Ovis aries: one gene and its partner. The protein of the gene in region 1 purifies or fractionates together with the protein of each later gene. This does not show direct contact. Links are inferred from orthologs where the notes say so. Each region holds a gene or a part of one and is shown in the gene's direction. Other genes may lie near its edges.

Region 1 (3,643 bases):
GAAGCCGGGCTCCTGCCCCGAGTGCCAGTCAGCCGGCCCCTTTGAGGTCAACATGGAGGAGGTGAGTGCCAGCCAGACCTCGAGGTGGTCCAGATGCTTCCGTCTGAAACATCAGCGTTTACTGCTCTCTAGCAAATGGGAAGATCTGGAGAACTGCCCCTGCTCCCCCAGAGCCCTGCCCACAGCAAGTGGCGGGCTTGTCCTGACTCCCTGGGACCTGTCTGGCCTCTCGCAAGGTCACGATTGCCCTGTAGGGAGACTCTGCTGTGCCGTCTGCGGGAGGCCCTACTTGAAGGCTCTGGGCCTTAAGCGCCTAGACATGTAATTAATGCTCGGTTTTGTCCATGTTGGGGGGCCATCACGACCCCTGTGTGGGGTGCACATCTCTCCACCGTCTGTTGCCGTGAGTGTCAGGCTGACCCCTCACTGCTCCACAAATCTGAGAAGCGCCCAGGTTGGAGCTGCCTTGCCAAGGAGTGCCTGGCAGCCCACTGCCAGAGTCTGACCTGTTCAAAGTCAGGTGCACCTTGACTTGGGGAGGGTGGCTGCTGGGCGGGGCTCCAGGTGAGCCCCTGCCTTTGCCCAGAGGCCCCCACCCCCGCCCCCGTCTCGCTGGTCCCCTCCACTTAGGGTTACCCTGCCATACACATTGCTCTGGACGCCTCCTGCCTAGGAGCAGAGGCATGGGCTCTGCGTGCGGGGACAGGAACTCGTGGGGAGTGGTCCTCACAGTGGAGATCCCGGAGGGCGTGCTCGGTGCCCAGGGCGGGCCTGCGTTAGTGGGTCTTCAGCGCCGCGTGGGGGCAGGTGCTGTCCTGGGTCCTCTCTGGCCGATAAAGTAACAGCAGGCTGTCCGGCTAGGAGGTGGCCCAGAGGGTTGGAACTCAGGCCTTTTGACCCGGACCGCGAGCATGTAGCCACCGTCACGGAGCTCTTCTGGATGGTAGGGAAACGGGGCTGTTAGACTGCACGCACCGCGCTGCCCCGTGATTTGAGAGCAGGCCCACCTCCGGTGTAACTCGCTTCCTGGGTGCTGGTTTGATGCTTTTCGCGTGACCTGACTTCCCGTGTGGCCTCACCTGCAGTGTTCACGCCCCACCCCACGGGGTGGCACAGGGAGCCTCGTCCGCCGGCGTCACTCAGCTCAGGCCGCAGAGCAGCCCAGCTCCCACAGCCACACGCACGGGATGAGCTGCAGGGCCCGGAGCGGGCTATGCGTCTGTGGAGGGAGGCGGCCGGAGCAGAGGTGGGGTGGGGTGCCAGTGCCCGTGGCTCCCTGCCCTCTCGGCCTGTGTCTCCTCGTCACCAGTGAGGATAATAAGCTGCACTCCCTGCCCGGGGCCGCGGTCCAGTCAGGTGACGAGCCGGTGCTCAGACCCCGGCATCCGCCCCCGGGCAGGACGGCCCCTGAGTCCGTGTCTGTCCTCTGCAGACCATCTACCAGAACTACCAGCGCATCCGAATCCAAGAGAGTCCCGGCAAAGTGGCAGCGGGCCGGCTGCCCCGCTCCAAGGACGCCATCCTCCTCGCGGACCTGGTAGACAGCTGCAAGCCGGGGGACGAGATTGTGAGTGCCCAGGGCCGAGGGGGCTGGTGTGGGCACTGTGGCTGGGCAGTGGTCAGCTCTCTGTTGCTGGGCCGAGCTTCTGTTGGGGTTCAGCGGCCGGGTGCCACACTTCTGCTGAGTTCAGCTCTCTCGGACCAGGGGCCCTGGGGAGAGGCAAGGTGGGGCCCGCACCAGGTCGGGCCCCCTGACCTCTCGGCCTCCCCCAGGAGCTGACCGGCATCTACCACAACAACTATGATGGGGCTCTCAACACCACCAACGGCTTCCCGGTCTTTGCCACTGTCATCCTTGCCAACCACGTGGCCAAGAAGGACAACAAGGTGGCCGTGGGCGAGCTGACCGACGAGGACGTGAAGATGATCACCAGCCTCTCCAAGGACCAGCAGATCGGGGAGAAGGCAGGTGGAAGGTGGTGGTGGGGGGGCCGCTGCCACAGAGCCTGGGTGCCTAGGGTCGCACCCCGGCCACCGCAAGCCTCCGTCTTGGTTCCGGGCCTTGGAAGCTGGGCCCTCGTTTTGATTCCCGTGTCCACTGAGTCCGCGTGCCTCGACGCGGGCTGTGCTCTCAGGGAAGAGCAACAGGAGGCCTCTCGGAGCCCGTGTTGCGTCCGGAGGACGGGGGAGTGCTCGGGCTGGACCGGAAACGTGGAAGCAGGAGGAACTTGGCGGGGGGTCATCCCCGGTGTCACCCGCCTCCCTGCGATCTGCCTCCTGGAAAAGCGCTCCCCAGTGCGGGCTGTCGTTTGCCCTTGAACGGCAGGCGTGTTTGCGGAGCCTGGAGAAACGGGGTTTACTGTCTAGAGATGAAGATATAAGTGGTTTCCGAGCAGTGCAGGGCTGAGGAGTGCCCACCGAGGGTCCGCGTGTGAGCACGCTTGCGACAGTCTTGGTCGCAGGGCGCACAGTTCCTGTCCTTGAGACCTGCCGGGTCTGCGCTTGGCCCCTCAGGTCCCCCTCCCCTCCCCTCGCCTCCCACGTGCTGTCCACCTGTTGCCGCACTGCCCGCTGTCTCCCGGACTGCTCTCTGCCCGCAGCACAGGGCCCTGCACCCCACTGGCGCTGTTATCCATCCGCCGAGATTGGGGCCCCCCGGGGAATAGGACTCACGGGTCTGCCAGCGCTCTGGGTTGGGGAGACGCTCTGGGGCTGCGCCCAGGCCTCCAGCAGGGAGTTGGACCTGGTCGTTGCTGTCACGGGGCTCCTCCTTTCCTGGGTCCCAGTAACACCTCGGCCCCTCTCGCCTCCCTGAAGAAAACCGGTGCTGGCGTGACAGATGTGTTCAGACTCCCGATGAGCGTTTGGGCGGGTTTCCAAGGGCGGGGACTCCGTGTCCCGGGCACGTGTCAGCTTGCCTGCGCGTGCACCTGTTTGCGGGCAGTGGGGGGTCCACATGGGGGTCTGCGGCCCTCCCAGCCCCCTGCCCTGCCTGTGCCGTGGCCTCCCGCCCCCACCTGCTCTGCTGTTCTGCAGAGCGAGGCAGCTGGATTCTGAACAGGGTGGCGCCGAGGATGCCCGTCGCCGCCGAGCCCGGGAAGCTGCTCCCTTCTGCGTCCGCCTGTCCGGGCTGGCCTCTGACATATCCGGGAAGAGTCTGGGGGGGGCCTTGGTCCTGCCTGCTCCTTGCCCGTGATGCTCAGATCAAGGCCTCGGGTGGACGAGGCGACCCCCCAACACCCGCCCGTCTGAGCCCTGTGGGGGGTTGGCCAGCAGTGGCCTCGTGTCGAGTCTGCCGTTAGGGTGGGCATTCTTGCCAGCCACGGGGAACGCCTCTGCGACTCTAGAGGCGCGTTGAAAGGATTACAGGCAGGTCCAGAAGCAGTTAGGTGCTTTGACCCGCTCGGGCCAGAGTCTGCAGACCCGGCGACGGTGGGGTCAGCACACCCCGTGTGCCGGCGGGTTTTGGCGCGTGGTTTTCTCTGTCTTTAATGCTTGCATGAGTGATTCCTTAGAATTAGGTTTCACCTAGAAACGTGGGCACCCAGGTTTGGACGGCCCGAGCCAGGCGCTCCGTGCTGCTGGCGTGCTCCGTGGCCGCTGCCCTGGGCTGGTTCTACCCCGTCTCGCCGCTTGCTGCCGT
Region 2 (3,994 bases), on another chromosome or scaffold:
AATTACTTCTACACCTATTTCCTATGCCTTTTTTTTTAAATCTAGGCGACCTGAAGGAATTTTCCTAAATTGTTTCATCTTATTGCCAACTTCAATGTACATAACGAGCCATTTACCCACCATGTTAACTTTTGATTCAGTATACGGGTGGGACCTGATATTCTTAATTCTTGACACGTTCTCAAGATTGTCAGTATTTCTGCTCCAATCCTAAATTGAATACAATTGATCTTTCTCCCCCACAGTTGGGTCAGCTTTAAGTAAATCTCGAACTACCAGGACTACCACTTTCTAACTTTGGTCATCAGATCTCCCCTAATTCTGAGTTTATCTTCTGTAAAACTACATGCCAGGGTCCCTGGGTGGATGATTTTAAAAAATCACATGCATGCAAAGGTGGAATTGATGACATATATACACTGGATCCTGATAAACTTCCATGGGGGGGCGGGGGGATTGTTTTAAAATTTTGAAAGCAAAGGCAAGAGAAAAATAATCTTGGCAAGAGTAATTGCTTTTTGTTATCCTCAAGACTAAGTACCGCTCTAGTCTCCCCTTCTCTTTATAAAGGCCCTTGTGGATTACAAAGGTTTCGCCAGCTATGCAGTAAAATAATGCTTGTGAGAACATTTCCAGAGTCTTTGTTTTAATGTCATTTGTCTTTTTACAATTAACCACCTACGCAGCATAACCTGGCTACCAGCTTTTTTTTTTTTTTTTTAATAAAAATGTGGATGGCTGTGAAAAGTCTTTGAATAGTTTATTAAAAAGTTTCTTCTTTTGTCTAGGCTTTACTTCCCCTTCGCCTTGTGGTGACTCTCCGTCTTCTTGGGCAGCGGCACCGCCTGGATGTTGGGCAGGACGCCGCCCTGAGCGATGGTGACTTTGCCCAGCAGCTTGTTCAGCTCCTCGTCGTTGCGGTTAGCCAACTGCAGGTGACGCGGGATGATGCGGGTCTTCTTTTTGTCCCGGGCCGCGTTGCCGCCAGCTCCAGAATATCAGGCGTCAGGTACTCCAGCACCGCCGCCAAGTACACCGGAGCGCCGGCTCCAACCCGCTCGGTATAGCTGCCCTTGCGGAGCAGGCGGTGCACTCGCCCCACTAGAAATTGTAAACCAGCCCGGGAAGACCGAGTTTTGGCTTTAGCTCGAGTTTTGCCTCCTTGTTTACCACGTCCAGACATAGTTACTTTGTAAAACTCAACAGCAAAACTTGTGAGCAGGAAAAAAAAAACCCTGGACGACCAAGGGGGGATAAAAATATTTTTTTAATAGACAGTAGAGGGATGCGCCACTTAGGTCTCCTATTGGTCAGAAGGACGAAGGTTTTTCTATCCAATAGAAAGAGAATATGTGTATCCCTTATTTGCATAAACCCCTCCCTCCAGACCTTAGTGAACCTGTACTGATCTTACCCAATCAAAAGTGAGAATTTTTCATTCCTCATTTACATTGAAGCGCTATAAATATCTGGTTTTTGAACTCATACTGGTAATCTTAGTCGCGGAGGCTATCATCTAACGTTTCTAGGGCAAAACAATGCCTGAGCCGTCTAAATCTGCTCCCGCTCCTAAAAAAGGCTCTAAGAAAGCCATCACTAAAGCACAGAAAAAAGATGGCAAAAAACGCAAGCGCAGTCGTAAAGAGAGCTACTCTATTTATGTGTACAAGGTTCTGAAGCAGGTCCATCCAGATACTGGTATCTCATCTAAGGCCATGGGTATCATGAACTCCTTTGTGAACGACATTTTCGAGCGCATCGCGGGCGAGGCGTCACGCCTGGCGCATTACAACAAGCGCTCGACCATCACATCCAGGGAGATCCAGACGGCCGTGCGCCTGCTGCTGCCCGGGGAGCTGGCCAAGCATGCTGTGTCTGAGGGTACCAAGGCCGTCACTAAATACACCAGCTCCAAATGAGTGCCTGCATAGGCAGTTAATCCAAAGGCTCTTTTCAGAGCCACCCACTTTGTCGAAGAAAGACTGTAACTGCCGTTTTCTCGCGCGGTAAATGCAATTCTGTCCTATTGATTTAAGCATCTACATCTACTCTAGTGGGGTTAATAGTTGAAGCAATTTTGGAGCCAGAACCTCTAGCTACTTGAAAAGTCTCTTGGCATTTAAGAGACGTTCCCCGAAAGACACATCTTCCCGTTTCCCATGGACTAAGCATCCAGATGCTTGGAAATGCTCACTCTTCACGAGGCCTCTTAAAATTTTTGATGGTGATTAGAATTTTCCTTCCGGGTAAGGAAGTGGTTGGGGGGATTTCAGGGTCCCGATCCTCAAGGCATCTTTATGCAGGTTGTCTTTTCAGGGCAGGTTGCAGGGAAGGCAAATCAGTGGGGTTTTCTCCCTGTTATTGGGGAAACTAAGCAAAATCACCTGTTGTTCCTTTAGCAAACCGCGGACACTTTTATAAGGTATTAAACTCTGCACATGGTTGAAATGAGATTTTCTAATTTCTCATTATAATTGTATAGTGATGGAAACAGCCAATGTAAAGCCGTTTCCATTTTTCTTGCATTCCTGATATCTGGGTTCCAGTTTCCTGGGTCATTTACCTTCCTGGGATGGCACTAGAAGAGGTTGAAAGTGTGGCACTCCCAATTCTAGGAGGGGAAATGGTTTGAATTTTCTGACCTCCCCATCTGGTGTCACCTCATTTGCAGACTAGGAGGGCCCCAGGTGGAGAGGAAGGTGTGCTAATTTTTCTTGGGAAAATTTTTTAAGAGAACATACTACTCCCAAAATAATCCTGATAGGAAGGGCCTTGGTTGTGGAAAAGGAGTCAGTGGGGCTGGATGAGGGGAAGAGCCACGAAAAGTCAGCGGTTGACTGCATATTAAAAAGGTAGGGGAAAGTCTTTTCTTTGGTTTATAAGCACCATATTTAGGTGACATACATCAGTGTGTTTGGATAAGGAAATAAAAACTCGAAGTAGAATTTCTCAAAAAGACCACTTTTAAATTTTGGAGTTAAATGAACTTTTCCCAGATCCCACACAAATTAGGTGACTGCTATATGAGAAGACTTCCCTGTCTCAGCATACATAAAACATACCTGTGAAACAGAAGCTTGTCTTAGAAGTTAAAAATCTTGGTTTTTAGATTGTAACCCCCTCCACTCATCTCTGGGGGGAAAAGAAAGAAAAATTGAACTCAAGCTGCAGTTTCAGAATTGCTCTCTGGAGGGATGAGATCTTAGTGGTAATATAATCTCAGTCTCTTCAAAATTATCTCCTGGGGTAGAACTTATTATTTGCCTGCTTGCTTGCTTCTATCTTCCTTCTCCTTGCCCCTTCCTTTCTTCCTAATAGTTGATATTTTACAGAACTATATACAGTCAGCAAAAAGACCAGGAGCTGACTGTGGCTCAGATTATGAACTCCTTATTGCCAAATTCAGACTTAAATTTAAGAAAGTAGGGAAAACCACTAGACCATTCAGGTATGACCTAAATCAAATCTTTAATGATTATTTCAGTGGAAGTGAGAAATAGATTTAAGGGACTAGATCTGATAGAGTGCCTGATGAACTATGGATGCAGGTTCATGACACTGTAGGAGCAAGACCATCCCAAAGAAAAAGAAATGCAAAAAAGCAAAATGGCTGTCTGAGGAGGGCTTATAAATAGCTGTGAAAAGAAGAGAAGTGAAAAGCAAAGGAGAAAAGGAAAGATATACCCATTTGAATACAGAGTTCCAAAGAATAGCAAGGAGAGATAAGAAAGACTTCTTCAGGGATCAGTGCAAAGAAATAGAGGAATATAATAAAATGGGAAAGACTAGAGAGCTCTTCAAGATCATTAGAGATATTAAGGAAACATTTCATGCAAAGATGGGCTCAATAAAGGACAGAAATGGTATGGACCTAACAGAAGCAGAAGATATTAAGAAGAGGTGGCAAGAATACACAGAAGAACTGTACAAAAAAGATCTTCACGACCCAGATAATCACGATGGTGTGATCACTCACCTAGAGCCAGACATCCTG

The links. The genes of interacting proteins can lie anywhere in the genome.
Region 2: the proteins of MCM2 (region 1) and histone H2B type 1-B purify together in Homo sapiens (affinity purification with mass spectrometry; 3 studies listed by BioGRID). This does not show direct contact. The link is inferred for Ovis aries from reciprocal best matches to the Homo sapiens genes MCM2 and H2BC3.

What each region holds. Positions count from the first base shown.
Region 1 is NC_056072.1:59,782,976-59,786,618, reverse strand, and holds part of MCM2 (DNA replication licensing factor MCM2), read left to right. Parts: coding exon 1-61; intron 62-1,432; coding exon 1,433-1,567; intron 1,568-1,773; coding exon 1,774-1,965; intron 1,966-3,643. UniProt on the Homo sapiens protein: Acts as a component of the MCM2-7 complex (MCM complex) which is the replicative helicase essential for 'once per cell cycle' DNA replication initiation and elongation in eukaryotic cells.
Region 2 is NC_056073.1:30,871,969-30,875,962, forward strand, and holds the start of histone H2B type 1-B, read left to right. Parts: upstream 1-1,492; 5' UTR 1,493-1,538; coding exon 1,539-1,919; 3' UTR 1,920-3,994. UniProt on the Homo sapiens protein: Core component of nucleosome. Nucleosomes wrap and compact DNA into chromatin, limiting DNA accessibility to the cellular machineries which require DNA as a template.